Cricetulus griseus: one gene and its partners. The protein of the gene in region 2 purifies or fractionates together with the protein of the main gene of each other region. This does not show direct contact. Links are inferred from orthologs where the notes say so. Each region holds a gene or a part of one and is shown on either strand. Other genes may lie near its edges.

What was found.
Region 1: the proteins of Ptpn6 (region 2) and Cd72 purify together in Homo sapiens (affinity purification with western blotting; 3 studies listed by BioGRID). This does not show direct contact. The link is inferred for Cricetulus griseus from reciprocal best matches to the Homo sapiens genes PTPN6 and CD72.
Region 3: the proteins of Ptpn6 (region 2) and Kdr purify together in Homo sapiens (affinity purification with western blotting; 3 studies listed by BioGRID and IntAct, with this or other methods). This does not show direct contact. The link is inferred for Cricetulus griseus from reciprocal best matches to the Homo sapiens genes PTPN6 and KDR.
Region 4: the proteins of Ptpn6 (region 2) and Cd22 purify together in Homo sapiens (affinity purification with western blotting; 5 studies listed by BioGRID and IntAct, with this or other methods). This does not show direct contact. The link is inferred for Cricetulus griseus from reciprocal best matches to the Homo sapiens genes PTPN6 and CD22.

The regions. Positions count from the first base shown.
Region 1 is NC_048595.1:100,056,804-100,064,433, forward strand, and holds the start of Cd72 (B-cell differentiation antigen CD72), read left to right. Parts: upstream 1-2,911; 5' UTR 2,912-3,100; coding exon 3,101-3,182; intron 3,183-3,273; coding exon 3,274-3,381; intron 3,382-3,937; coding exon 3,938-4,009; intron 4,010-4,469; coding exon 4,470-4,559; intron 4,560-4,986; coding exon 4,987-5,319; intron 5,320-7,630. UniProt on the Homo sapiens protein: Co-receptor of B cell receptor (BCR) that plays both positive and negative roles on B-cell functions. Recognizes the Sm/ribonucleoprotein (RNP) self-antigen ligand, and coligation of CD72 and BCR inhibits BCR signaling.
Region 2 is NC_048601.1:21,670,627-21,678,278, reverse strand, and holds the start of Ptpn6 (tyrosine-protein phosphatase non-receptor type 6), read right to left. Parts: upstream 3,970-7,652; 5' UTR 3,820-3,969; coding exon 3,812-3,819; intron 3,726-3,811; coding exon 3,603-3,725; intron 3,360-3,602; coding exon 3,165-3,359; intron 1-3,164. UniProt on the Homo sapiens protein: Tyrosine phosphatase enzyme that plays important roles in controlling immune signaling pathways and fundamental physiological processes such as hematopoiesis.
Region 3 is NW_023276807.1:142,444,897-142,452,057, reverse strand, and holds part of Kdr (vascular endothelial growth factor receptor 2), read left to right. Parts: intron 1-3,044; coding exon 3,045-3,138; intron 3,139-5,029; coding exon 5,030-5,226; intron 5,227-7,161. UniProt on the Homo sapiens protein: Tyrosine-protein kinase that acts as a cell-surface receptor for VEGFA, VEGFC and VEGFD. Plays an essential role in the regulation of angiogenesis, vascular development, vascular permeability, and embryonic hematopoiesis.
Region 4 is NC_048602.1:4,898,840-4,906,526, forward strand, and holds the start of Cd22 (B-cell receptor CD22), read left to right. Parts: upstream 1-2,792; coding exon 2,793-2,808; intron 2,809-6,637; coding exon 6,638-6,702; intron 6,703-7,687. UniProt on the Homo sapiens protein: Most highly expressed siglec (sialic acid-binding immunoglobulin-like lectin) on B-cells that plays a role in various aspects of B-cell biology including differentiation, antigen presentation, and trafficking to bone marrow.

The DNA of each region.
Region 1 (7,630 bases), on a different chromosome or scaffold from region 2:
GTAACATGAACGCCAATATTGCAAAGACTTTCATACACACCCAGGAAGGGCAAGGATTGACCCTTCCTCATTCTGTTTCCCATCTGTAAAATGTAAGATCACTTAGAAGTCAATCAAGGGATAGCAGTGCTCCCGGACATCCCCAGGATCTGTCACATTGTATCCTCCAGGGGAGCTTTGACATAGACACTACAAGCTGGCCTAAGACTGAAGGGACTGCAGGATGTCATGAAGAGATAGTTCACCATCACCAAGATGGGGAAAAGGAGAGAAATCCAGACCACTCCTGATGAAGACCTCTGGGCCATTCAAGCCCAGATCCATCTCAGTGCCACTTTCTTGTTTCTTGGAGACAGCATGAGGGTCCCTGATGCTGTTTCCAGTGCACATTAGAAGCTAGGCTTGGGCATCTAACCTGACATCCAGGTCATGTTCACCTGTGTACTGGGGTTTTGGAAATGGAGACATTGTCTATGGTCCAGGGAATTCCTGCCAGTGTCCTTATAGTCACTCACTCTGACCACACCCACAGCTTTTGTGCCACAGATGCAGTGGCCCTAACTGTCCCCACCCATCCCTGACACCAGCTGCTCTGTGCCCTCCCACTCACTCTCACATGCCCCAAGGTCCCCAGGGAGTCACCAGTCCACTGCTAGTATCTGGGGGAGGCCCTGAGCCTGGAGGAAGGCTGGGCTGTTGGAAACTTTAGTCTAGCAGGGACCGTTAACAGCTGCTGCAGAGAACCCTTAAAACACAAACGAACCTCAAAAAGGAAATACTTGTAAAACGTGTTGGCTTGACCTGTGATGAATTTTCTGAAAGGGTTCGTCATTCCCTGCTGTGGCAAAAAAAAAAAAAAAAAAAAAAAAAGGCATCTCTCTGACAAAGACACTCACCTCCCACAACACCCCTAACAGGCCACAAAGTATAGGAGCTGTGCACATGCAAGCGCACACAGATGCTTCCTGCACCTGCCTCTTTTCAGACACTTTCCTCGGGTGACAGTGTGCTTGCTCTTCTGCCCCATGGGTCACTTTCTCTGGGGCAGGCAGGCTCTCCTGTGCTACTTTGAGAAAGCTCTCCCACCATCGCCTAGCCCTGCTATATACCACCAGTCACAAGAGTTGGTTGCATGTAGTGAGGAACTTTACCTCTCTTTCTTCCTCCCCACAGCTGCAGGACAGCTGGTGTGTGTGTGTGTGTGTGGGTGGGTGGTGGTGGTGGTGGGCGGATGTGGTTCAAAGGGGGTGGGTTTTTCTCACCTCCGTGCCTCATCCGGCTCCAGCTCATTCCAACCCCCAGCCATGAAGGCCTTTTGTGATTCCTTTAAGAGGCAACAATGTGGTAAAAGAATATTATATAGTCCCTCTGGGTACTGCGGCTCTAAGCCTCACCTTCCTGCCACTGTCAACTGGGCCCTCTTCACCTCTTCACCCACAACAACTTAGTAGGTTTGGTAGTCTCCTCTGCAAATGCCTCTTCTCTCCGTGTGACTGATTCTTTGTGTGTCTCTCTCTGTGTGTCTCTGTATCTCTCTGTCTCCCTGTCTCTGTCTCTGTCTCTCTGTCTCTGTCTCTCTCTCTCTGAGACAGGGTCTCATTACATAACCCTGGCCAGCCTGGAACTCATGGTGTAGACCAGGCTGGCCTCTGACTCACAGGAATATACCTGTGCCTGCCTCTGCCTCCTGATTTCTGAGTTTAAAGGTGTGTGCCACTACACTTGGCCAAGTGTCCTTTTTCTCTGGGGATGAGTATGGTGGACAATGTTTGGACTATATGCATGTCTACATGTTCTGGGAAGTAAGCCCAGATCATTATACTCCTAGTGTACCATTGAGCTACACCTCCAGCCCCTAGGACCGCTAAAAGAAAAAATTAACTATAACAATGGGACATTTCTTTGCCTCGCCGCTTCCTAGGAAGCCACAGCCACCACTTTCTTCTTTTTTAAGTTTTATTTTATATTATTTTTATATGTATGAGTGTTTTGCCTGAATGTATGTTTGTACCAGGCTGATGACTGAGGTGGTCAAAGAGAGTGTCAGATCTCCTAGAACTGGAATTACAGATGGTTGTGAACAGCCATGTGGGTGCTTCGAATCGAACCAGTACTCTTAACCACTGAGCTTTCTCTCCAGCCCACCACTTCCCTTCTTGAATCCCACACTCAGTTTCCTTTCCTCCCTCCCTAGGAGGTATGTAAGAACTATTGTTACTCCAGGCTAGCCCTTCAGCACAGCCCAGAGCTGCTCCTGAGCCCCTGCTGAGTGGACATTGATCCCTGATACTGCTCTGGTGTGGGAACACAGGGGATGCCAGAGGAGAGGATGTGTGAGAGAAGGAGACAGACCTGGTCACAGGTGTGTTCAGGTAGACAGCAGGAAAAAGCTGTACAATGGGGAGTCTGGGGTGCTCACAGAGGAAAACCAGCTTCTTCCTGCCTCCCTTGCATCCTCACATTCCCAAGAATGGTTTCTGGGTGACAGTTCAGCAAGCAGGAGGGGAGTCAGAAGCGCTCCATGCTAAATGGGGGACATGAACCTTATCTAAGCTACCAAATTAAGGAACCCTCCTGGTAAGCCATGGCCCTACTGGGCACCCTAGAATGAGGAGAAGCTAAGGCTCCATAATAGGAACCCCAAATCTAATGGTTGAGGATGAAGCTGCAACCTGGAGCAGTGATTGGTGCGTGCCCTGGGTCAGTTAAGAGAAGAGTCCCAAGTGTACACTGATCTCAGTGAATGGCAGCCCAGAGGGAGTGGACAACCGGAGAACACACCAGACTGGTGCGTGGATCTTAAGTACTGTGGAGGACAGAGTGGGTCTAGGATAGGTGGGGAAGGGCACTGGCTGGACACAGGTCCAGGCTAGCGTCAGTGTCTGTACTTTGGACCTTGGTAGCCCTCCTTGGTCTTCTGGCTTCAACCCAGGGACCTCTTCTGCTTCATTGAGTCCATCTGCCAGCCGCCTTCCTCTTTTGTGACTTGGGGTCACAGCACAAAGCACGGAGCATCACAGTCAGAGAGAACTCAATGTCTAAGAGAGGAGAGTGGCCCGTGGATTAGCTGGAAGACCTTGAGGCAGAGGTGCCCAAGGCCATGGCTGATGCCATCACCTATGCAGACCTGCGCTTTGTGAAAGTGCCCTTGAAGAACAGCATCTCTAACCACTTAGGACAGGGTAAGTCCTGCTTGCTGCCCCCCTTCATATTCCACCCTCATTCCACAGTCCCCATTGCAGACTCCTCCTACTTCGGACCTTCCTCTTCCAGACTGTGAGGCCTATGAGGATGGAGAACTCACCTATGAGAATGTGCAAGTGTCTCCGGTCCCAGGAGGACCATCAGGCTTGTCTTCCCCTGCACGAGTGGACAAAGCAGGTATGGAGGCCCCGGGAAGGGTGTGTTTATCTACGAAGGCTGTGTTTATCTGGCGAGTGTAGAGCAGTCTTGGAGAAAGCAGCAGGGCTGTACTTGAGAACAAGCTAAGAGTCAGGGGCAAGTTGAACGTCCTCGCGGTAAGCTGGGGGGAGGATCAGGGCAGCCGGGTGCGAGATGGGTGGGGAACAAGAGTGGGAAGAGATGTTGAAGGATGAGAAGTCACAGACAAGGGACCCCAAGGAAATGATACAGAGGTGATAAAGGGAGACCCAGGAGAGAGAGGAGGGATATGAGGTGTGGACAGGGCGACCCAAGAAGGGCTTCCGGAGAGAGGACTTCACTGCGTGGCATTTCTGGGGGCAAGCAGGAGGTGAGCAGGGACCACTCCCCCAAGCCCCGAAGGCCAAGGGACATGAGTCCTGGGGCAGCAGAGGAAGTCCCGAGAGTGACTGTCCCATAGCACTTAGTCCACGACAAAGGTCTCAGCATGGTGTGGGGCCGGGGGAAGGGAATTACGGGGACTTTCCACCCTCATTGGGACGTTCCCCTTCGGCAGGCGTCAGGTCAGAGCAGCCAACTGCGTCATGGAGCTCCGTGAAGTCGCCGGCTGGAGGGCGGATTCCCCGTTGTGTGTATCTCCCCCTCCCACCCCCGCAGCTCCAGCCTGCGTTCACCCGCAGCCCACCTGCGGGCAGCGGGCAGGGATGCCAGATGCCGCATGCGTGTGTGTCCTGGAGGGGTGGGGCTGGGTTCTGCCCTCCGCTGCTCTTTCTGGGACTTGAACGACAGCCCAGCCACTCCACCTCATCACCGGAGCGATTGTTCGATTGTTCGCACCTGCAGTCAATCCAGACCACAATTCCCCTGTTCCGATGGTCCCTAGTCACATGCCTCCAGGTCCCTTTCCCTGTATGAAGTTTAGTTCCTTCCGCCGGGTAATGCCCCCTTCAATCCGTTTCACCAGTTACAATCCCCAGCCCCTATTTCCTGACTGACAGAGCCCGCTTAGGAGCGATTTCCATTCTCTATGTGTCCCCACGTGGACACCCTTCCCCGGGACTGACTGTCCCTCATCTCTGTCCCCTAAGGTCCCACAGTCGGCTTGCAATACTTCTTGCTGGGCCTTCTCCTGGCCTGTCTGATGTTAGGGGTGGCTGCCATCTGCCTGGGAGTTCGCTGTGAGTATGGGTATCCCCATGCCCCTCTCCTTCTAAACATCTCCCCTTCTCTCTCCGCCCAACTCGCCTTTCATCAGGAAGGCTCAAAGACACTGTCCTGACACCCTTGGCTTTTGGGTCTGTCCTAGAATGCCCTGCCTTCCTAGGTTATCCTTACCCACTTCAGGAGTTCCTCAAACTGGGCAGACAGATCTTAAATTCAGCACATTATACAGGAAGTTACATAAGCAGAAAGGTTGATAATGCAATCTTAGAGCACCAGCAGGAGGAAGCGCTCTCAAGTCCCCCATCTGTGTCTTGCCCCCGCCCCCCCCCCCAGTTCTCCATTTGTATCCCAGGCTGGCCTGGGCACCTATCTCAGCCTTCCCTAGACAGGGATACAGGTGTGTGTTGCTACACCCAACCAGTGTCTTCCATGGCCAAACAGATCTGCAGGTGTCTCAGCAATTCCGGCAGGTAACCAGGATTTTGGAAGCCACCAACAGCACCTTGTGGCAGCAGCTCAGGCAGAAGACAGCTCAGCTGGGGCAGAAGGAGGTGGATCTGCAGGAGTCCCAGACAAAGCTGACCCTGAGTCAGAGCACTTTACAGGAGAAGCAGAAAATCCATGAAGCCACTGAGCAGCAACTACAAGCCTGTCAGTCTGAGGGACAGAGGACCAAGGAGAATTTGGAAAGGGAGGAGCAGAGGAGGAGGGACTTGAACCAGAGGCTGATCAAAGTTCAGGACACACTGAGGAGCCGCCTCTCTTGTTCTTCAGGTATCTTCTGGGAGGTTTCAGGGAGGTGGGGCAGACCGCCTGTGAGGGATGGACTGAATCCAGGAGTGTCTAGTGACTGGGTCTGCCTAGTTCTCAGCAGCCAGTGAGTTATTCAGGAAAGGGGCAGTGAGCCAGAGCAGTGGCTGACCTGGGTGGGCTATGCAACTTGGTTACTGAGAAGAACACTGGGTTTAGGGGGATGCACCCAGCTATATGGCAGATCATGGGGGCAGAGGCACAAAGAAATCTCCAGCAACCTACATCACATTGTCCAAATCTCTTTCTGACCCAGGGGGCATCTAGATGCTTCCACCAAGCTTAAGACAGCAAGATTGAATTTAATTTTATACTTATCTAGCTCTATATGCAACTTAAACTGTTAAGTCTCATATTTCTAAATTGCTATATATCTTTAAATGATGGTAAACATTTAAAGTCATAAAGGTCTAATTTAACTATACTTAAAATATAAGCTAGGTCCATACAACTTAAATTTAACTCATGTATCTTTAAATAATGATGAAAGTTTAAAATCACAAAGGTCTATTTCAAACTAACAAAATATTTATACCACTCAGTCCATCCTGTAAGCCGTTTACAAAGGTACAGCTTTTATTACAAAAAGGGATTTTTCTCTAACTAAAGGCAAACTTTTAACTGCTGAGATACTAAACAGACAGTCCTCAAATGCTCAGAGATCTAGAGAATATGGCATTTAAAATGTTTTGTTAAAAAGCTTTTTATAACAGAGAGACAGGCCAGCATAATGCCTGAACCTTTCACACGCCCCTAGCTCTCATCTTATGCCTCTGGTGTCTCTGTGTGCATGTGTGCATTCGTGAGTGTGTGCTCTTTCTCCGCTCCCCCGCCCCCCCCCCCACTCCCGTGTGTGTCGTTGGAGAATAGTTTTTGAGATAGGCTTTCTCCACTCAATGTAGAGCATGGCCAAGCTCAGCTCTACTTTTTCTATGGGTGCCAGGTATCTGAACTAAAGTCCTCATGCTTTTGTGGCAAACACATTTAACTACTGAGCCATCTCCTAGCCACTCTCCTTCACCTTATTTTCCATGACTCTCAGTCCCTTGCCAGTGCTGCCACCCATTCCCATATCTACACTTTAGACCTTCATGTCCCGTGGTGCCCATCTGTTCACAGCTTGGGTGTAGACATCTATTTCGATTGTAGCTACCCAGCCCTACAGGGTTCTCTACTCTCCTCCCACCTTCCCAAGGCATCCAGCCTGGGGAGTCCCAGTTTTCTTTCTTTCCCACAGCTATCTCTTATCCTCACTTCTCTCTCAATCCATCTTGGGTTCCAGAGCCTATTACCCAATCACCCACTCTTTTGTTTCCTGGTCCTGGTGCACTAGACTGATTGAAAACTCAATCCTGGATGAGCCCAGCTGACAATTTAGTATAGGCCTGCATCAGGTGTGATAAATTGTACCATTGATCAGCCTGGTGCCACTGAGGTTCTGCTCTGCAGTAGTCTGTCTGCTTTTCGCAGTGACTCCCTCTCCATCGTGCCTTTTCCATCATGTTCAGCAGGTACTGCCATTATCAACTCATCAGAACGATTCCACCTAGCCTACCTGTATTCCTCCTTTTTTTTTCATCTGTTCATTTTCATGTGTGTGTGTGTGTGTGTGTGTGTGTGTGTGTGTGTGTGTGTGTGTGTGTTTGTATGTGCGTATGTATGCATGTGTGTGTGTGTGCACAGTTTCTTTGACGCAAAGTTTCATCCTTGATTGCTCTTCTACTTTATTCACTGAGGCAGGATCTCTTGGTCAAACTCAGAGCTCATCAATATGGCAGCTTTCTGTGGGGATTCTTTGCTTTCCACGGCAGGTATGATAGGATGGCTACCACTCACTGGTGTCTTAGTTACTTTCTATTGCTGAGACAAAACACCAAGACCAAGGTAACGCAAACGAGTTTAATTGGGTTTGTGGATTCAGAGGGTTAGGATCCACGATGGCAGAGTGAAGGCATGATGGCAGGAACATCTGAGAGCTCACATCTTGCTCCTCAAGTGGGACACAGAGAGAACACATGGGAGTAGTAGAAGTCTTTTGAAACCTCACCACCTGCCTCCACTGACTCCTCTCCTTCCACAAGGCCACACCTCCTAGTCCTTCCCAAACAGTTCCACCAACTCGGGACCAAGCATTCAAATATATGAGTCTATGGGGGCCGTTCTCATTTAAGTCACCAGACTCAGGATCTGGGGATTCTAAGTTTGGAACTCATGCTTGTGTGGCAAGTGCTTTAACCATTGGCCCAACTCTAGTTATGGGGAAATCCTTAAAAAA
Region 2 (7,652 bases):
TAACTGTAAGTTTGAGGCTAGCCTGGTCTACATAATGAGTTAGTTCCAAGCTAACCTGAGCTACAGAGTAAAATTCTGTCTCAAAAAAAGAAACAGCAGAGCTGGGCAGTGGTGGCTCACGCCTTTAGTCCCAGCACTTGGCAGGCAGATCTCTGTGAGTTTGAGGCCAGCCTGGTCTGCAAAGTGAGTTGGAAGGAAGGAAGGAAGAAAGGGAGGGAGGGAGGGAGAGAGGGAGGGAAAAAGAAAGAAAAGATGTGAGAAAGAAAAAAGTGAGATGGCTGAGGGTAAGAATTTTTGCTATCAAGCCCACAACCCAAGTTCGATCCCCAGGACCCACATGGTAGAGGGAGAGAACCAACTCTGATAGGTTGTCTTCTGATCTCTCTGCACACACTAAGACACATAAGTTCTATAACAAAAATCTTTTAAACAATGAAACAAAACAAAAGCTGAGAGATTGCCATTTCCCCAACTTTACAATAAGAAAATGGAGGTCAAGCACTTGCACACTGGTCCTAGGTCCTAAACTGATAAGCGAAAAGGCTCCACAGAGTTCACACCATGGAGACTGGGGCTATAGCTCAGTGGGAATGGAAGACCCTGGGTTCCATCCCCAGCACTGAAATCAAGGGAGAAGGGAGGGAAGGGGGATGTTCTAACAAAAATCCAGAGCCTCTTCTGAGTGTTTACAATGAACAGGCAAGTAAAACCCAGAACATTTGGAGGGACAAAAAGACTCATCCCCATGAAATGCAGACTTGGACTGGGTTAAAGGAGGGACAGTAAAATGTAGATGGACCCAAAGCACAGAAGGCAGTGGTTGAGGTGACAGAAGTCGGGAAGGACCAATGGTAAACTCCGGAGTGATGTGGGGACACAAACACTTGACTGAGAGGGTAGTCTCAGGGTTCCGGGGAGCCCAGGATGGTGTGAGTGAAGGGCTCAGAGGGGCTGTAGGGCAGAAAGCAGAACTAAGGACCTTTCCGTGAAGCGCCCCTTCCCAGGAGGAAACTGTAGCCCCACAATGCCTAGCCTCACAGGAAACCACGTGATGGAAAAAATACAAAACTCCTTCTGGGGAGAGAGTGAGAAGTGAGGTGGTGAGGTTTCTTCAGCTTAGGGACAGAGGGGGGGGCAGCATTTTCCAACCGCAAGGATTGGGGTGGGGAGAGTGGGGCTCAGTCCTGATCCTTCTCAACTCTGCCCAGAGGACACCATAGCTCAGGGCCCTTCAGAGGCTCCTACCCCAACCCAGATGTCCTGGGCTACCCCAGCCTATCTCGGAGACAGCCCAGGGCCCCCAAGCAATGTGAGGGGGCTCAGCTCCTTCCCTCAGGGACAGGATGAGGAAGTCTCCATGCAAATGTGAACTGACCACAGGCAGAGTTCACCACTGAGGGGACAAATGCAAATTTCCCAGAAGAGGCAGGGCAAGGACACAAGGAGTATTGGGCCATGGCTTCCGCACACCCTAGAGTTAGGGATGAAACTGAGCTTCTGGGTCATCCAAAGTGCCTCTTGGAGTCATCCAAACCCCTCAGTGGTCTGTCACCCATGTAGTGTTGCATGCTTCCCCTGTCTGTCCTACCCTGCTTCCCTGACACCCGTCAGCTCCCCCCTCCTCCCCTATCACAGTGAACATACCAGCTACAATTCTGCTATGCCTCCACAGTCCGTGTCCTCTAACACAGCAGATCCTGGCTTGACAGCAACAAGGGGAGACAAGGAGGTAAAAGAGCATCCAAGAGGCCAAACCACCTTAAGTGTTGCAGGTAGGAGGGGGAAGGAGAGAGCATGAGGCATGCCCTTCCTTTCCATCCACCACCAGAGGAGAAAAGCCTTCAAGGAAGTGTAGACCAGCCTCTTCGTGTTGGCTGGAAAGGGATCTCCAGAGGTGAACCACAGGGGCTTTTACCCCAATCATTCAAGTTCTACCTTTGTTTGTTTGTTTGTTTCAGTTTTTTAAGTCAAGGGTTTCGTAGCCCAGGCTAGCCTCAAAAGTGCTATGTAGTTGAGGACGAATTTGAACTTGTGGTCTTCCTGCCTCCTCCTGGGATTGCAGACATATGTCACCACTCAAGGTTTATGCAATACAGAGAATCAAACCCAGGGCTTAATGCAAGCACTTTGCCAACTGATCCACAGACCTTAGGCCTCCAGTTCCAAGTTTTAATAGGTGACTTGAACAAAAATATTGAGCTAAGTCTGTAGGCACAAATCTCAAAAAAGACTACAAACCACTGGGAAGTGGCTCAGTGGCAAAGCACATACCCGATAAGCACAAGGTCCAGAGTTCAGGCCCCAGCAGAGGGTCTGGAGTCGGGGGTGGGGGTCAAGGTTCAGAATCATTTCAACAGTAAATACACAAACCCAGAACAAGTTGGTATGCGTGGCCCCAGAAGTCCATGAGAAAGAACCCCCTAGTGTTATTCCATGCCCTTTACCTCAATAGGAGCTGTGTCAGTCACTATGCTGTACAGCTAAGATGAGTTACTGTGTAATGAAGGACATCTATTTATATGCCTCTCCTTGCAAGTGCTCTGGGGAGACCACCCAAGAACAGCCAGCCAAGTTATGGGGGCCATGTCCTTGCAGCTCTGGTGAGGGATATCCCAAGTGTTTCCTGGAGCCGGGTAAGCCTGGGTCCTTACCCCTCTATACCTGTGACCATATCAATGACCTTGCTTCACCCAAGCTCTGCAACCCCATCCTCACTGTGTTGTTGAGATAAAGCCCTAAGTATCCCAATAACAGGGATCCCTAAGACCTTCCTAACATGGGGACCTAAAAGGCCCAGACTGTGGAGAGCTGAGGGAAGGCAACAGAGTTCCATAGAAGGAAGAGCTTTCTAGCAATAGGGCCAACCTGATGGGAAACACCAGCCACAAGGAGTGGCCTCACTGTCACTCTCTGGACTAGGTTGCTAGACAGCAGGAACCCTACAGAAAGGCAAGGGGAGCCCTTCTCTTGCTTCCTCAGGGGACAGGGGATGGGTTAGTTAAGGGACTCATCAGGTAGAGAGGAAAGCGGCTAGGGCTCTGAGATAGAACAGGGGTGGCAGAGTAGGCATGAGGAACGGACTGAGCAGGTCACTTGGGCTGGGTGCTCCTCTCCTTTACACTGATCTCAAGGGAGCGGGCCAGCCTGCAATGCGCGCGGCTCACCTCTCGCTGGTGGGGTCCGAGCAGTTCAGTGGGTACTTGAGGTGGATGATCGTGCCATCTCGGTCCTGAAGGATGCCCTGCTGCTGAGTGTAATACTCCACCAGCTCCGTCAATGTTGCAAACTTCTCCCCTCCGTACAGGTCATAGAAGTCCCCCGAGTTCTGAATCCGAATATGGGTCACCTGGTCATCTACCCTGCAAGGCACCAGGGAGTGAGGCCCCAGGTACAGGAGCAGAAGTGGAGTGGGGGACAGGCCAAGGGGCCCGAATGCAAAAGCACACAGGACTGGGGTAGACGCAGACGGTTATGGGGACACACTAGGGCTGCAGGCAGGGACACCGCTGCAAGACAACATGAGAAGGCAATGCAACCCAGGGAACAGAAGAATGCTCAGGACCCAAGCCATGAGCTGCCAAATCGCCGGGAGGGCCACTCACCTGACTGAGAGGGAGAAGTCACCCTGGTTCTTGCGACTGGGCCGAGCCAGGAAGCTCCCAGGGACTCCCCGGCCCTTGAGCAGGGTCTCGGCATCAGGCCCACTGAGGTCCCGATGAAACCACCTGAAGGTGTACAGGGTGGTGAGGTAACGTGCCCCGGGCGCCAGGCCACCCTTCCTTTCTACCTCCCATGGGCCCCAGGCCCTTACCTCACCATCCTGGGGCTCTTGCTGAATTGGCTGCGGAGAAGGTGGAGGGAACAGCCTGTCTGGGCAGGTGGGAAAACTCTAGGGTTGAGCCTCAAGCAAGGCTCTCGGAGCCTAAGCCTCCTACAACCCCAACCTGCTGTCCTGCTACCAGGCTACCACTCTACTGGCCTGGGGCAGCCAGCAGGGCGGAGACAGGAAGGGGCGCGGCCGACCCCTTGGGGGAACTCACTTGTACTTCTCTTTTCAGAGCAAGGGAAGAGAAGCAGAAGGGTGGCAGGGTGGGGGAGGGCCCACTTCCCACAGTCTGCCATCAAAGGCCCAGGAGTATGGCACTCTACATAGCAAGAGGTAAGGACCGCGCTTATGCCCCGCAGCCCCTCCAGGCCAAGATCCACACATGTGACTCCTCATGGCCATTAGGTCACCTCTTCCTCCTCCACCAGCTGCTTCTACTCAGCATTCCTTGGCACAATCTAATAATGATGGTGTGCAGTGACACTGTCATTTAATGGAGTGTTGCCACATGCCAGACTCATTGCTACAATGTTATTTGCAGGCCTCCCATGAGTTACTCCTCACCACAGCCTCATTACACAGGCACTATCTTTATACCCACTTTACAGACAAGGAAATGGAGGCTAAGGGAGTTTGAGGAATTGCCCGCAGGCCTTACACTTAGTAAATTACCCGATTCAGACCTAAATAGTTCAGTTTCAAAGCCAATGATTTGTAAATACTGCCTGCCAGCCCTCAGGACCTAAATTTAGAACGGTAGTCAATAGATGTCTTGTCCAAAGGAGATATTATCACAGCAGAGAGCCCCCACAAAAAGACCTCAGGCAGCATTGCCAATTATGGGCCTCTTCTATTTTCAGAGACTGTTTACAGGCCTCTTTTCTCTACCCTGAGTCTGAGCGAGCAGGTGTGTGTGTGTGTGTGTGTGTGTGTGTGTGTGTCCTGGAAGCTAGGGTTGGTGACCAAGCTCCTAACAACAGCAGATACAGCAGATGCTCACAGGGATAGTAACTTTTAAGAGCTCTGAGCCCAGCCGGGCATTGGTAGCGCACGCCTTTAATCCCAGCACTCAGGAGACAGAGGCAAAGGATCTCTGTGAGTTCAAGACCAGCCTGGTCTACAAGAGCTAGTTCCAGGACAACAGCCTCCAAAGCCACAGAGAAACCCTGTCTCAAAAAACAAACAAACAAAAAAAGAGCTCTGGGCCCAAAGTCTTATGACGGCCTGTGTATGTAATCCTCAGTATAAATTAAAACAAAAAAAAAAAAATCAAACACTACCAAGCCAAGAGCAGAGGAAAAACAACCTGCCCAACAGAAGAGTCAAGAAACTCCTATTGGTGTCTTCCTTTGGGAGAGCCATAGGCTGCTGGGGAACAGAGCTGGGACAGGGCCCCCTATATCCTTTAGGGGGGTATTTGTTTGTGATACTTTGGTTGGTTAGTTTTGGTATTTTTTGCCATATTGGAATTAGAACCTCAGGCCCTAGCCATGCATGGTGGTGCACGCCTTTAATTCCAGCACTTGGGAGGCAGAGGCAGGTAGATGTCTGAGTTTGAGGCCAGCCTGGTCTACAGGGGTGATTTCCAAGACATTTGGTGCTATAGAATGAGACCCTCCCTGTTTTAAAAAAGAAGAAGAAGGAGAAGACGACGGAGAAGCCTGTCCCTTCACTATGCCAGCAGCAGCCCTGAGGCAAATCCTCCACACTATTTCTTTTTCTTACTCATTTAATTCACTTTACATTTCCGAAGTCCCAGTGATCGAACCTAGGACCTCAAACATGCTAGACAAATGCTTGCTTAGAAGGTAGGAAGCCCTGGGTTTCATAGTCTTGCTAAGTGCAATGACTCACACCTGTAATTCCAGCACTTGGAAGACAGAGGCAAGAGGATAAGTACAAGTTTGAAGCCAGCCTGGGCTTCATCAAGAGATCCAGGCCAGCCAGGGCTACATAGCAAGACCCTGTTTAGAAAGAAAAAAAATAAAGCTAACCCTCTATGACAAGTCTTTTATCATTCTTGGCGACATCAAGTATCCCTTGACCTTGGTTTCCCTCCCTTTCTCTTCTTGCTAACAGCTTTGGGAATTTACATGCTGGGACACATACTATGAAAGATCTGGAATCGTCATGGACTAAGCTCACCCCAAGGGTCAGGAAGACCACATGAAAAGTTGGTTCCAGCACAGGGGGATCCACCAGCAACCTGGCTTTGTCCCCATTCCAACCTTCAGAGTCCAACCCAAAGAAGTATCCAGTGAGAAAACACATGAATACACATGGTTACATGTATGTTTCTGGTCTGCTCCCACATGCAGATGAGCAAGCATTTACACAGATATCTGCAAGCATATGTATAGAAACACAACTCACATGCACCCATCATGTGTCCATTTATATACATACCTCGCTGGGGGCAGGTCCCCAACATGACAGGGACACAGGAAGTTCCAGAGTTAAGCCTACTTGGTTCAAAGAAGCTTACTAGGCCCCTAATGCTTCTGGCCCTTTAAGTGTATCTAAAAAGTGTCAAGCTGGAAAAGGAGACACTCCCGGTAAGATGGATCACCCCTGCTATTCTCTGGCAGGAAAATAATCGCAGTCCCCCAGAAGCAAGGCACAGGGCCCTGGAGTTGGAGGAACATTAGGCAGCATACCACAGTCATCCTATTTGAACCCTTGGCCACCTAGGACATAGGGATTTTGCCTTTGCTTTAAGTAGGCTCAAGGAGGCTGACAGTCCTAAATGCAAGTGCCTGGTATCTAGAAGAGACAGAAATTCCCTTGAGAAGCAGGGGATAAATGAAGACATCAAGATCAATGGTGATGCGAGGAAGACAGACAGGCCCTGCGTACCAAAGACAAGATACAACAATCTTACATAGTTATTGGACTTCTCTGAGCTTTGATATCACCACCTAATAAATGAGCTCAATAAAAAGGGAACAAAGCAACCAGGTGTGATCGCTCATACCTATAACCCCACTATTCAGGAGGCTGAAGCCTGGGACAAAAGGCCAAGTGTGATGGCACATGCCAGCACTTGGGAGGTCATCCTTGCTTGTGTAACTAACTGCTAAGTGGTCTGGTTTCATGTCATCAGCTGTAACATTTTACGATGGATTTTGCCTTCTGCTTTTGCCTCTGTGGAGTTGGCCAAGTGCAGACAAAAAAGTATGCTTCTCCTGGACAGGTACAGACCTTTCTCCCTTGTCATAATTTCCTCAATAGTACAGTAAAATAGTTTGCATAGCATTTACATTGTATTAGGTAAATACTCAGAGAGGAATTAAAATATGCATTAGTACATGTGTAGGTTCCATGCAAATACATCTGTACAGTTTGGTATCTTCTGGTTGCCCTGTAATTAATCCCCCATGGACACCAGCAGATGACTACTTTATTTTATTCTACTCTATTTTATTCTTTTTTTTTTTTTACTTATTGTGAAATGGATCAAACTTGGGTTTTTATGCTGGGCAAGTATTCTACCACTGACCATAACCCTATTCTTTGTTTTTATCATTTACTTATTTAGACAGGATCTTACTATGAGGTTCAGGCTAGCCTCAAACTCAAGATCCTCCTACCTCAGCCTCCTTCGTGTTGTCATACACTGCTACACCCGGCCAAGACAACTGTATTATTGTTAACGTTCATGACAATATTGTTTACTTGTTACTATCCCAATTTTAGAACAAAAACTGAAAACTCAGACATGTTAAGTCACTTGCCCAGAGTCACAAGCTTTGAGTGAGTCGTGAGTGGGAAGGTGAAAAAAACCAAAGCTGTCTGCGGCCAGAGATTTGTCTGCCATAGCACTGCC
Region 3 (7,161 bases), on a different chromosome or scaffold from region 2:
CTCTTGGGTTTGGCACTTTATAGAGCCACTTTTCATGACACTTAAAATTGCCCTCTGCTTCAAGGTTAGTCCTTCCCTTCCCTTCCCTTCCCTTCCCTTCCCTTCCCTTCCCTTCCCTTCCCTTCCCTTCCCTTCCCTTCCCTTCCCTTCCTTCCCTTCCCTTCCCTTCCCTTCCCTTCCCTTCCCTTCCTTCTCCCCCCCCCCCCCCAGTTCTCTTCCATTTCCTTTTTGTAGCCAGTTTGCTCGTTTCCCAATCTCTACCCGTTGGAGAATGGAGGGAGAGTCAGAAAAAATTCAATTCCGTAAAAAATATTCCTTGCATCAGAAGACAACTGCGTGCCTTAAAAACACTGGCACTGAAATACAGTACCAAGATCATCTGTCTACAGTTATTGAGTTTTCTTCATAATGACTCGGTTCATCAGGCCAGCTCCATCATGGGTGCTCATTTGTCCCTGACAAACGCCCACTCTCCCCCCTTCTGGGAAGAGAAAGATAGTCTGGAATATGTGCTTGCCCTGTGTCCCACAAAGAAGTGAGTTGCTTTGAAGCCTGGGGTGTTCCTAGAGCAGCAGTTTAACAGTAGCCTGGTTCCCTGAATAAAATGGAGGTTGCCCTTTCGGAGTGTGTGACTTGCTTAATTGGATTGGACTATAATTGGTGCCATCGAAGTCTAGAGACAGAGCTGCTGTTGTTTTTCCTTCTTGTCTTCGAGCAGGAAGGATAACAGTGCACAAATTAATTAGTGTTGGTTATGGGATTCGAACATAAAAGGGCTTTTATTGTGTAGTAGCATATGTACCTCTTACAGTCAGAACTAGCTTTCTAAAGGAGAGGACCCAAACTTGCCAATGAAAATGAATGGGGTTTAATGGGTGGAGGGAGTGTTAGTCATTGATGTAACTCTCCAGTTATTATTGATAACCTTATTGGCTAGATTTGATTGTGGAGCGATCCCTAGAATAGCGTGGTGTTGTATATGGCTTCTTGTGAATGGGATGTCTCTTAAAGATGAATATAGCTAATGTGCCAGCAGTCTAAGATAATCTCTGGCTGTACTTTATTACAGAGACAGTCAAGAGGCTTTCAGTGGCTGTGGCATGTAGATCAGAGATAGAGCACTGAGAGTCTGGGTTCGCTTCCCAGCACTGAAGAATAAAAGTCATTTGCTGCAGAGGTAGAGTGGACACAGCTTATTGAATGGTGGTTATTTACTACCACATTTTCCCTTACACATTTGCCCAACTGATGGCTTCTTTTTCATTTGGCTCCTCATATGAGTCGTATCCAGTTATTGTTTTGGGGTTAATATTTCTGAGTCATGTTTAAAATCTACTTATCAAACAAATTGTATTTTTCACTTCTCAAACCAAGTAGCATTCCATCATTGGAAGACGTGTTTATGTGCTTGCCTTCTTTCATATTGAAAAGTGATTACACTGATTGATTAAACATGACTACCCATGACTACCCCACAGAGCACCCGTGACACAGTCACTTTAAATGCCACTTAAAGTGTATATTTGCAGATCTAGGAATATCCAAACACCACATAAAGTTCAGAACCACTGCCCAAATACAAGTCATTGATGATGTCAACTAGCTTCTGGGGGTTATTAATGTCATTTCATTTCCAATGATTGAAAACATGTCATCAATCAATATATCTATAGTTAGATCAGCAACATATGTGCATCTGATTAGATTGGGTGTATTTGGGGTGGTGTAGCTGTAGATTGTTCTGCACATCTGTGCAGGTGTGTGAGACCCTGTGCTGTCAGTTAACCACCTGCTTCCAGTTGTTCACATAGGGGCCACGGTGTCACAGCACTGGCTATTTGCCCTGGCTGTTTGCTCATACTCTCTTCTTTCACACGGCCCCGTATTTGTTCACGTTCACTTATTTGCCCAACAAGGTCAATGCCAGCTGAGACCCTACGAGTCATCTGTTCTGAGTTGGTGTGAATTAGAAAGCCTGGGTGGCTGCCTGGTATTAATTAGTTATCTTTTTCTTTTGAGACAGTCTCACTCACTATATGGCCCAGGCTAGACTCAAACTTACAGTCCTCTTGTTTGGTCCATTTGAGTGCTGGGCTTCCTGGTGTGCACCACCAGGCTAGGCAGATCAGTTACTTTCCAAGCTGAGAGCTGGAAGATTTTGATGTCCCTTAGCATGGTGGGCAACTCCTCTTTTTCTCATGCTTTTAACATGCCTGGTAACACTTTACATTTAGATGACTGACACCTAGTTATCTTGCTGTGGTGTGACCTGTTAGAGACGTGTATATCTCATGATATCTTTCTGTGTTTTAGTTTTTTTAGGTAACATGTATCTTGTGTCTGGAGCTTTGTGTCTAGATGAGCTCAGAGCTTTGATTAATTAATCAGTTGAGAACCCCCCATTGTAGCTCATTAGAGTTACACTATTTTAAGTTTTGCTCAGAGGAAAAGTATATTAATATGCATGTATGCATGAACTTGAGAGATTTTTACTCTTCCTCAATTCATTTTCCTTCATCTAAACGCCCTGTCTTTATGAGCCACTACCGCAGCTTGATTACCAAAGGAAATCTGCTATACTGCCTGATAAAAGACAATGGGACAAAGGTCACAGTAGCTCCTGCCCCTTTTTTGGGGGGAGGTATGGAGATGAGCTGTATAGAGATCTCTCTAGGGAGTTTTCATTAATCAGCAATTTAGTCAGATGTGTACATCCTATGCTTTCCCAAGGGCCTGAGATCATCAGATGGTGGCTCACCGGGTTTCGATGTCCCATATCCTTTTGTAAGACCTTGAAGTTGGCAGTGCAGGAAAACAGGAACTCCACCCTAGCACTGTGAATTGCAGAACTGTTGTGTTGGTTTGTGACCATCTGCCCATTCTTCCTGTTATGACAGAGCTTGTGAACTTTTACTGGGAATGGGGCAAAGCAGATTCCACTTTTGTACGATGAATTGCTGAAGAGGTCTTTTAAAACTTGGAGTATGCATTGCTGATGGAAGGTGTTTCCTATGGGGTCCGACTCTTGTCTAATTTCTTTCTAGGTTTGCCAGATGATTCCCTCCATCCACCCAAGCTCAGCACACAAAAAGATGTACTTACAATTTTGGCCAATACAACCCTTCAGATTACTTGCAGGTAAGGGTTCGTTTTAGATTCAGATTTCCTGTGTGCAAGGACTCATTGTTTACTGAGGTCACAACATTTCCATTACTGCAGAATTATAATAGTATTGTTGTAATTGTTTATAAGTCATGAGGCTTCTAAGAACTCATGCAATAACGAAACAATGAGAAAGGTCTCTTCAAACTTTTGTACTGTTTTGACGGGCCTTTTCAACACGTACAAATGCATACTCACATATGCATTTGCACAACCATGCACACATGTACATGCGTGCCAAAAACTGACATGTGATAGACATTCATGACTATTGATGAATCAGTAAAGTTAAGGGCTTATCCTTGTGAAATAGAGTGGAAGTCTGAGCCATGTTCATGTCAGTTCGAATGACTTGTGAACATCTTTTTAGCCCTTTATAAGAACTGTGTTCTACAAATGAAATTCTGTCTGTAGTAGCAACTTAATCTCTAGCCAACAATATTCCTGACCATATGTCCTGCTCAAAACATGAACTGCATACTCTGGCTTGATATTCAGGCCCTCTTTCCCTCTTGCCCGCAAGTAGCCACGCTACTGATGCTGGATAAGCAGGGAAACAGAACTCTTAGACAAGAGGAGGCCTTTGAATTTTGCTTTTCAACCAAGAGTCAAGAAAGGAAACCTAGAGGAGGTATAGGTGGATATGGCACTCATTCATGAATGACTCAGAGGTCTCTGTAAATCAGTGTGGTTTTGAGTGCTGGTGCCACAAAGAGTCCTGGCAGCTTGTGGCCTTTGCATCCTATTTGAAGAATACCAAGTGGTCCACAGCATAACTCAGGTCTGTTTTAGATTGTTGCATGTGGAGAGACACTAGGCCTCTTATCTAAGGTCTGCAAAGTCTTCAATACCCAGCCTTTGGAGGGGGGGGGGGAACAAAAACAGAAAGCCATAGCAGGAGCTGTTTATCTTCGTAAGTCATGGCGTTTCCAGAGACTTTCCCTTCTACCTAGTCTCAGACACAAAGGTCACTTGAGATCTGCAAAGGTCCCCCTCCCTTTAAAGGAGACTTCAGAAACATTTCTTGTGTTCTGAGCAAACCCTGGAGAGAACAGGCACAGTCAATACTGTGATGTCATGGGAGTTTCAAGCTCTTTGAATGAAGGCTCAGTGGGCCACATTGTTTTATTCATATTGACTACCTTCCATTTGCTTTGTGGAGAAATGAAGCAATAAAAGTATTGTCTATTTAACTTTACCCTTTCAAGGAGGTACCAGGGCCCTCTTCTCTCGGTGCCCTCTCTTCTTCCTCCCTCACACCTACATGATGATTCTGGCTTCCCTGCTGTTTCCCCAACACTCCAGATGTGCACTGGTCTCTGTCCTTCACATTTACCGTTCCTACTTGAAATGCTGTTCCTCATCATGTGCATAGGGCCTGTTTGTTGCTTCTTTTATGTTTCTCTTCATAGCACTAAATTAACACCTTTTATACAATGACTTGTATGTCCTAGTTGTCTCTCCCCTAGTTAGAGTGAGCTTCCATAAAGGCACTGATTTATTTCTTCTTGGTGTACACTGGGAAAGTGCTCTAGCACTGAGCATCATATCTTTGGTCCCTTAAAGCATTAGTTTTTGTCCTTAATAATGGTCAGCAATTATATATACTTAAAAAAACATTCTTTCAGTTCATACTGAAAGAATGAATTGTGAACTAACAGAAAACACATGACCCCATGGGTGATTTCTGAAATAGAGTGTGTGATCTTTGGTGGCATGTCCATGCAGACTGTCATCAGTGTCTATCAACTTTGAAGTGTCTGTTGAGCATTTTATATGCTCATGAGAACCATACCTTCCGTTCTCTTATTCAGAGCCTCATGCCATGGGGTGTCACATTAATACCTTCCTGGAATACTTTTTTCAGGGGACAGAGGGACCTGGGTTGGCTTTGGCCCAACAATCATCATGGTTCTGAGGAAAGGGTGTCGGTGACTGAGTGCAGTGACAGCGTCTTCTGCAAGACACTCACAATTCCAAAAGTGGTGGCAAATGATACCGGAGCCTACAAGTGCTTCTATTGGGATGTCGACATGTCCTCCGTCATTTATGTCCATGTTCAAGGTAAGCAGTGGACAAGAATGTACTTCCCACATCCACTTACTAGGTCTAAAAAGCAACAGGCACAAGAAAAGTTAAGTCCAACAGGAGTCTTGATGGAAAGGCTGTTTGCCAAAAAGAATATAAAAATCTCCCTCCCAGACTTCTTTTAAGAAAGGACTCACTGACTGTCTGGGCTTTGGTCTGAGCTGCATTTGTCTTCTTTAGATAGGTCAGTCCTAGTCCCTTCTGTGTGGTGCTCTGAGATTCTCTGTGACCTGTCATGGGCTATAGGGACTCATAAAATGCCTTCTCTTGTTTGAGACCCTGAGATCTTAGAAATGGAGGGAGATTGGAAGTGGATTATAGAGAGGTTTCTGTGGTGAGATAGGTTATCTGTAGCAGGGAGGAGGTTTTTGCAGGAATGCATAGCGAAATAGCCAAGGACTCTGGAGGTTGTGTTTTTCCCCCTCCCCCATAAGATTTTTCCTTTCCAGACTCACACTTTATTAAAAAAAAATCCACATACCCATGTGCAAAGCACAACACCATCTCCAAAGAAGCCGTGGAGGACTGCATGTCCTGTCTTTGCTTGTGTGCTCTGAGAGGGCTTCAAGTTTGCCATCGACTCCAGGAAGATGCAGCCTAGAGACATGAAAGGTCGCTTCATAGTTAGAGCGAGTATTTTATTTTGAGGGGATGGTAGCTGTGTGAGCTTCCTTTGCATACTTCACCTTTGAGGGCTAATGATTTAGGACTGATTTACAGAAGACCTTTCATTTTACATTAAAGGATTAGCTTAGCTTTTGTCTCATGTGAAAGGGTTACTTTAGCACTGTAAGCAAGGCATGCAACTTAACATCTTTATAATAAAGACTACAAGGCAACATGTATTCGATTTCTAGAGCATGAATTATGATCTCTTTTGTATTTTAAAAACTGCACACCACCTTTTCTTGCAATAAACCCATCTTCACTTATGAGACACCTGTAATATTATGCACTTCTCAGGAATGTCAAGGTTTCATTATATATAAAGATTTATTTGTTTTCATTTTTGTGAATGCAAGTTTTGCATGTGTACTGTGTGCACGCCTGCTATCTGTGGAGGTCAGAAGAGGGCATTAGACCCCCACTGGAACTGGAGTTACAGAAGGCTCTGAGCCACCTTGGGTGATGGGAATTGAATGTACATGCTCAGCAGGAGCAGCCAGTGCTCCTAACAGCTGGACCATCTCTCCAAGTCTGGGTTGCAGACTCCCTATTTTATTTATTCATCTGTATCTAACCTTACATCTCAGAGGATTTGAGACCCGTGAAAATGACTTTGAAATTTTTTTTCTAGAATTAACTATTACCAGATAGAAAGGCTCTTCATCAGGACAGCACTCTTGCAGATATGACCGTCCATAAGATGTGACCTGTCCTTCAGTAAGGACAGTCTATGGAAGACTGTCCTAATGTCCTATGGTGCCCTGGGGGCATTCTTTTTGCCCAGGGTAAGCAAAGTCTAAGATGGAGTTCTGTGCCTTCCTCCTCACTCTGCAGAGCTGAGGGAGACAGACCTTGGGGAATGTCTGGCTCCTTTTGATCTGGCAGTCTTGGGAGATGTGGCTCTCTCAGAAGATTGCAAGGATTTCCTGCTCTCAGCCTGTCTGGAAATGCTACAAGATGAGCCTCTCCCACAATATCTCGTTACTTCCTTCTCCCCAAGTCAGGAAACCTGGAGACATGTAAAATTCATTTCTTGAGTTACAGTAAATATTTTATTTTGAGAGGATACGTGGTTGTTTAATGCTCCTTTGTTTACTTCCCCTTTAGGGCTACTGAAATAGAACCCATTTACCAAATAACTTTAGTCTTAAGTCAAGAGGTTAATTTGACTTCTCCAGACTCTGAATGAAGCACATCGTGTAATAGTCCATTAACATGTGCAATAGCAACAAGCGGTGGTCTCTA
Region 4 (7,687 bases), on a different chromosome or scaffold from region 2:
ATGCACCTCACTTGGGGTGGGCTTTGAGAATTCAGAGTCCCCTCCCACTTCCGGGTTGTTCTCTCTGGCTGAAGATGCCATGTCACAGTTTCCTGATTCAGCTGCCTGCTGCTGGGTCTCCTCCATCATTACAACCTCTCCCTCTGGTCCCTTAAGCCAAACCAAACTCTTCCTGAGTTGCGGGTCGTGGGGCTTTAACACTGCCATGAAAGTGACGAAAAAAAGTCAGTCACCTTCCCACCTCAGCCTGGAGATTGCAGGATGCCCCTTGAGCCATTTTTATAATTTGAAATTTCTATCAGATTGCTGTAGGAATCTAGCAGAGCCACTGTGTCCAGGGTAAGCATTAGAGTGAAGGGTTGCTTTTTAGAAGTACTTTGGCCTGGAAGCATCATTGTGGAACAGTGATTGTTTCCCGTGATTTACAGAATTATTTTTTTGAAGGGGTCTTGCAGCCTTCACAGGACTGTGGTCGCAAGACACCTCTGAGGCTCTTGGATTATTGTGAATTACAAATGGATAAAGAGTAAAGGACTAGAGTCATGAGGACATGACATGCTCTCCTTTAGAGAGACAGATAGGTTAGATTAGACCTAGGCATGCAGAAATACTTTACCCAAAAAGCAACTTTGTGTAACAATCAATAAAAAACAACTTTGTACGGCTGTTTGAGGTTCAGTCCATCATAGGTTGGACCTTCCTGCTGCCACACAGTCGTCTTGGAGGACTGGAGAGATGGCTCAGAGGTTAAGAGCATGGGCTGCTCTTCCGGAGGTCCTGAGTTCAATTCCCACCAACCACATGGTGGCTCACAACTGTCTGTAATGAGACATGCTGCCCTCTTCTGGCAGGCAATGTATTTCAGGCAGAGCACTGTATGCATAATAAATACTCTTAAAAAATTAATCTTGGAGTGACCTTTTTCTTCGACTAAATACTCTAACATCAGATAATTCTAACATCAGTGTTATCCTGATGCTGGCATCCGTAAAGTCTGAGATTTCCTTGTCTTGGTGTGGTGAGTAGCTTTCAGCCTTGTAAGCCTTGTAAGCATCTGAGATCACCCCCCTGCTGCTACAAAGAAGCAACATGTAGGCAGCCGCTTCCAAATCATCACACAGAGACTTAGTGTTATTTATAAATGCTTGGCCAATAGCTCAGGCTTGTTACTAGCTAACTCCTACATTTAAATTAATTTATTAATTTTATTATTTATTTATTTATTTATTATTAACTCTTACATTTACTATTAAATTATGTATTGCCACGTGGCTTTACTAGTCATCTAGCATCTCTCGCTCCCGCAGGGGCTGCAAGTAAAGAGTCTCCATCCAGCCTTCCCTCGTGCCTGAGGGCGAGGATGCCTCCTTATTGCAGGGCATGGGGAAAGCTCAGGACGCCATTAGGTACCTGCTAAAATCATCCAGTCTTAGTGAGAAAGATGTGTCTCAGGACTGGTGAAGGGGACCCCCCTACCCCCCCCCCCCCCCCCCACCGAGCACAGCAGAGGCTCCCTCACAGATGCCAGGTTAGGGACAAACCACACTCCAGCACCTGTTTTCACAGAGATCCGTTATTAATTGGGGATAAGAAGTTAAAGTGGCTGCTTTCTGACTCAGACAGAGAACAGCAGCGAGTGACCTTGCAGGTGTGATTTTTTTTTTTTAAAAAAAGATTTTACTTATTTATTTTTTATTATGTATACAGCATTCTGCCTGCAGGCCAGAAGAGGGCGCCAGATCTCATCACGGATGGCTGTGAGCCACCAGGTGGTTGCTGGGAATTGAACTCCGGACCTCTGGAAGAGCAGTCAGTGATCTTAACTTCTGAGCCATCTCTCCAGCCCCGCAGGTGTGATTTTTAAGAGAAGAAGGGGAGGGCTGTGTTAGAATGGGCTAGGAGGCAGTGGTAAAGGAGATAGGAGGAGGAGAAAGGAACCAGGGAAAGGGGGCAGGGATGTGTCCCAGAGGGATAAAGGACTGTCTCTGGATGGAGGAGACAGACACGTTACCAGGGCAAATGGCAGTTTATAAAGGTAAAAGGGGAAACCCCATGTTAGGATGAGGTATTTAATTTTAATTGGGCATATTTATTAGGTAGGCCAAAGGGGGCTTTTCCTTACTGGATTTCAATACTTTGATAGCTGGTCCTTGGTGGTCAGCCTCAGGAGGAGGAAGTGGCCAAATAAGGGAACAGACCTTGGTGACCAGCTTTCGGAATGTAATCTAACTTTTAGCAAGGCAGAGGGAACTGGGGAGAAGGGCAAGGCCTGCCAGAGACACGTGCTCGACTGGGCTAGAGTCCCCTCAGCTCTTCCTGCGTGGCTGCCAGTGTTACTGATACGTGGAGACCCGTGATAGTCCCGAGAGCGGGTACCAGCCCTGACTTCCTCTAGGCCTCTGACATCCTTCCAACAGGCCTGGCGGGGGAGAGGGGGAGTGGCTCACTGTGCTTGGGAGGACGATGGTCCCTATTGTGCTGAGGTCATCCCACTGGCAATAAAGGTCCCAGCTCCACACTCTGTCTTGTCTGGAGCCACTTGGAGAGTGTGGAGAGTATTCTCAAATCTTTGTTACAGCCTGGCAGGGGTGACAGTCTAGACCGGCCCAGGACCTTCTCCAGCGCAGACACAAATGAACAGGGTGATCTTGGACTTCTCTGTACTATTTGGCTGCCACACGGAAGTCGGCCGACGCAGAGCTCTGACTCTGAGGGTGTCCGTTTCTTTGTGTTTCAGCTGAAAAAGAAGGGTTTTGTTGGAACTGTTTTGTCCATGTGTTAGCCTCACCAGCATGTCGTGTGGTATCGGTAAGGTGGGGGGTGGGTACGGGTGTGACTCAGTTGGTACAGTGCTTGCCTAATGTGCAGGCAACCCTGGCCTCATGCCACAGTCCCTCATGAAAGCAGGGGTGAGGGCTCTGTCTCTATTCTCAGCACTGGGAGGTGCAGGCATAAGGATCAGAAATTCAAGGTGATCCTTGACTACATAGCAAGTTTGAGACTCTGTCAAAAAAGAAGCAAAGAGTGAGGGAATTAACTGTCATTCCTCGGAGCCCAGGCGTTCTCTCTCTCTCTCTCTCTCTCTCTCTCTCTCTCTCTCTCTCTCTCTCTTTCTTCCTTTTCCCCCCTTTGGTTTTTTTTTTCTTCATTTTTTTTTGTTTTGTTTTTTGAGACAGGGTTTCTCTGTGTAGCCCTGATTGTCCTAGAACTCACTCTGGAGACCAGGCTGGCCTCGAACTCCGAGATCCTCCTGCCTTTGCCTCTGAGTGCTGGGATTAAAGGTGTGCGCCACCACTGCCTGGCCAGGGCTCAGAGTTTCTAACTGGCATAAGCCTTCTCTCTGCTCCCCTTAGCCTTCCTGTGCTATTTATTTATTTATTTATTTATTTATTTATTTATTTATTTATTTATTTTTTACAAGGTCTGGGGGTTTGTAGTTGTAATTAACAGGACAAATAGGGAAAGGGCTAGTCAGTCTTCCACATCCTCCACGATGGAATCTATGGATTCAGCCAAACATTCATCAAAAACGTTGTTTGTCCCAGCACTCGGAAGGCAGAGGCCAGCCTGGTCAACAGAGTGAGACCCTGTCTCAAAAACTATAGTTAAGAGTCTAGCATGCATTGGGAGGGGCATATGAGGCCCCCACCCCTCCTGAAGGCTTCCTGCCTGTGAGCTATAAGGTGTGTACCACCATGCCCAGCTAGCCATTTCCCCCCCTTCAAACACAGCTCTGGTCAGGAATCAAATCCAGGTATTTGCCGTTGATTTGTGGAGTTTTCCCACCTTGTTATGCCCCTGCTATATTACTTCTTTTGAGGGGGTCAAAAGTACTGGGGGTTAAAAGTAGGTCCTCATACATGCTAGAGAAGTGTTCTACCACTGAGCCACACCCCAGGCCCTCACTGGGGGATTCTAGGCAGGGGCTCTACCACTGAACCACACTCCAGCCCCTCACTGGGGGATTCTAGGCAGGGGCTCTACCACTGAGCTACACCCCCAGCCCCTCACTGGGGGATTCTAGACAGGTAGAAGATTCTAATCTTCTATCACACTCTTAGGGTCCTTTTTTTGTTTGTTTGTTTCATTAAATTGGTGGGGCTGATCTTGAAGTTACTCTGTAACCCAGGCTGACCTTGAACTTTTGATCTTCCTGTTTCAACTTCCTGAGTAGTTTCCAAGACAGTCCTGCTGTTGCCCCCCCCCCCCCCCACCTTTCACTGTCTTCTGCAGTTCTTCTTAACCCTTTCAGATTCTGTCTGTGTGGCTAGCTACCCTCAGGCCATTCCCACGCCTGTGACACGTATGACATGTAGAGTTCATCATGCCATACGTTCATCATGCCTCCCTCCCCCGTAAAGCCTCCTGCTGAGCAGAGGGCATGAGGTCTTCAGGTCTTCACAGTTAACCCTGGAGAAACCAGGAATGTTAATCACTCAGGGCTGTCCTCTGTTTTCCACTCAGAAAACTAGTAGTGGATGTTATAATAACCCGGTGAGGCACACCTTACCCAAATCCCCCAGAATGTGTATCCCAAACTCTCCCTCCCTAGCTCCTAGTTAATCGATTCACCCATCCTTAGGAGAGCTGTCACACGTCCTTTATAACCTGCTGACCTCTATGCTGTCTCTGTCAGAGATCATACCAGATCCTAGGCCCCTACGCTATGGAACCCATCTTCACTGGCACGTGTGTTTGCGAAGACTTTATTGACTCTTTGCAGTTTGTTTTCTGACCATAACGCTTGTAGGAAGAGCACCCCTGGTCCCCACCACACCTGTGGCATTCATCTTTTCCCAACCAGCCATGACCTTGAAGACATTTTTCTGTAACACATTCCCTGCGCTTAGAAAACGGAGATCAGCTCTCCCTCCAATGCTCCCCGTCACCTGTAGGATTTGTACCGAGAGCGTGGTGGCTGCTGGAGAAGAATCGGTACAAGTGACTGGGATTCAGTCTCAAGACTTTCCCATTTATAGCGGGTAAAGGTGGTTGTGGGCTAGCTTAGCCACCGAGGTTTCACCCCTGGAACCCACATAAAGGTGGAAGGAGAGAGCTGACCACAAGTTGTCCTTTGACTTCTATATAAGCACTGACGAAAACACACATGTATACACACAACACACACACACGAGCACACATGTGCCAGCACATGGTCACAGATAAGTAAAAATCAAGAGCCAGCACTCAGGAGGCAGAGGCAGGTGGATCTCTGAGTTGGAGGCCAGCCTGGTCTCCAGAGCGAGTGCCAGGACAGCCAGGGCTGTTACACAGATAAACCCTGTCTCAAAAACCCCCAAATAAATAAATATCAAGCAGAAAAGACTCCCATACAGCAACCCTTCTTTCCCCAGAGCTCGCCCAGGGCCTGGTCCCCTGTTCCTGCCTTTGATGGTACTGCTAGTAACAAGATGATGTCGCCAAACTAAAGCCACCTTCAAGAAGACCTGATCCTTCCCAGCCAGCTGGGAGCAATCGTGAGCAAGGGTTTCACAGAGGGGCCTTGGGCAAACCTTGGCGACTCGTCAGACACGGATCCCACAAGCTAAGACGTGACTGCGTGACTGTGTGACTGTTCTCCACCATGGCCTCTTTCCCCCACTCGGATCTGCTGGTCTCAGAGCCACAGAGAGGAAGGGGGTGTGGCCAAGCTTGTGAGACTTCACTTACTTTTACTCTCAGAGGCTGCTAGGGACCCTGAAGAGCACACACACACACGTATGCACGCACAAGGAGACAGGTAAACACCATTTTGAACTTTTCTCTTGTTCTCAACAAGGAAATATGGTGCGGTTTCTGTGTGCTGGCCGTAGGACCTGCTGTTTTCTTCTATCTAACTTACCATAGGCACAGACAGACCCCTGTCTGTCAGCATCCCCTTTGCCAGGTTTTCTGGGTTCGCTGAGATGGAAGAAGCTGTTGGATGCCCAGGAGGGACTGGTGGGGCTGGGAAGCCAACCCCAAGGCTCTCAGCAGGTCTGAACTGAATGGATCTTAGGTCTGGACAGTGAGGCCCTATTCTAAGTTTCTGAATTTAGTAACTGTTGCTACCCTACTCTACTCCTACCAACTCACCCATCCATCCCAGGCTCAGGGCCCTGCTTCTTATGCTACGGTGACTGCTGGGATCCCGTGGGCACGCAGCTTTGCTCTGGAATTGCTCCCTTCCAGCCAAGCCTTGCTGAGGATGAAGCCAGAGGGGCACAGTGGTCCAGCACCTAGGGGCTGATGTGGCCACAACCCTTGTAGTGACCCGGAGGGTGTCACTAAGTGTGTCCCTCAGAACAGAGCTTGCAAGCTTGTGATGAAAAAAATTAAAACAGACTATGGCTTAGGAAGTAAAGGGAACTGCCTGTCCATACCATGTCTAGTGACATGTGTCGCACGCAGAGCTTGAGAGCCACTGTGAGAAGTAAAGCCTTCTGTTGAACTCGGCTTTCCCCGAGTGGCTTTGGAGGGTGTCACTGTGAGACACATTCCCTGCACCTGGAAAGCTGCGAGTAGCTCTGCCCCAGCCTCTGCCACCTCGCCTCTCACACACCCAGGCCAGGCCAACCCCCACACTGGGGACAGAAGCCAGCCTGCTTTCAGCCAGTGGACCAGCTTTCTCTATGCTTGCTCCTGATCCATCCAACAGCCATCCCCACCTGTGTCCTGCAGCCTGGGAGGGAGATGGCCCGAGAGGTGCTGATGCTGTGCCAGGTACAGGGCATGTTGGTAGGGAGGGTGGAAGGGACGCAGCTCTGCACCGACCCCGGAGACACACTAGGTTGGCACATCCTGTAAGATCCCTGGGGGCTGACACAGGTCACAGCCTCATGAATAGAGTTAAATTTAACTCTGTGTAAAGTGTAGGATGGTGATGATGGAGGGCCAGCCCATTGCAGAGGGAGAGAGAGAGAGAGAGAGAGAGAGAGAGAGAGAGAGAGAGAGAGAGAGAGAGATTGCATACTGGGTGTCCGTTGTAAATCCGTGGCCCCTAAATACACAGTTAACTTCCATCAGGCCAGCACTCTATATTTCAGTTGTTTAGTTTTCTTGAGACAGGCTCTGTCTTGGGAGGCCAGACTAGCACCAAACTTGAATTCTTAGATGCACACTCCTAAGTGCTGGATTTTAGGTGTACACCGCCATGGCTGGTCCTATGGATTGTTTATAAAACAAAACATTTCTCATGATTGTCTGCCTTCTTCCTTATGGTAAAAGAGTGGATGATGAGACAACAGGAGGTCCCTGGTAAAAACTGGCTGATGCTGTTAGAAAAGGAACATCTTTCCCTGTTTCCTATCAGCACCTGGGGCTCTGGAAGGGGTCCTTTGGACCATTCTCTGTTTTTAAGACTTTTTAACTCCCTCAAAATGTTTTTCTGATGTCAGACTTCACTATGGGTTTAGTCTTACTTTTGGGGGATAGTACTAGGTGATAAACTTAGGGACTGTGCCTTCTAGGCAGGGGCTCTACCACTGAGCCACGCCCCCAGCCCCTCACTGGGGGATTCTAGGCAGGGCCTCTACCACTGAGCCACGCCCTCAGCCCCTCACTGGGGGACTCTAGGCAGGGGCTCTACCACTGAGCCACGCCCCCAGCCCCTCACTGGGGGACTCTAGGCAGGGATTCTACTGCTGGACCATACCCTCCCTGCTCCACTGGGAGATTCCTCTATCACAGAGATACACCCCCAGCTCTC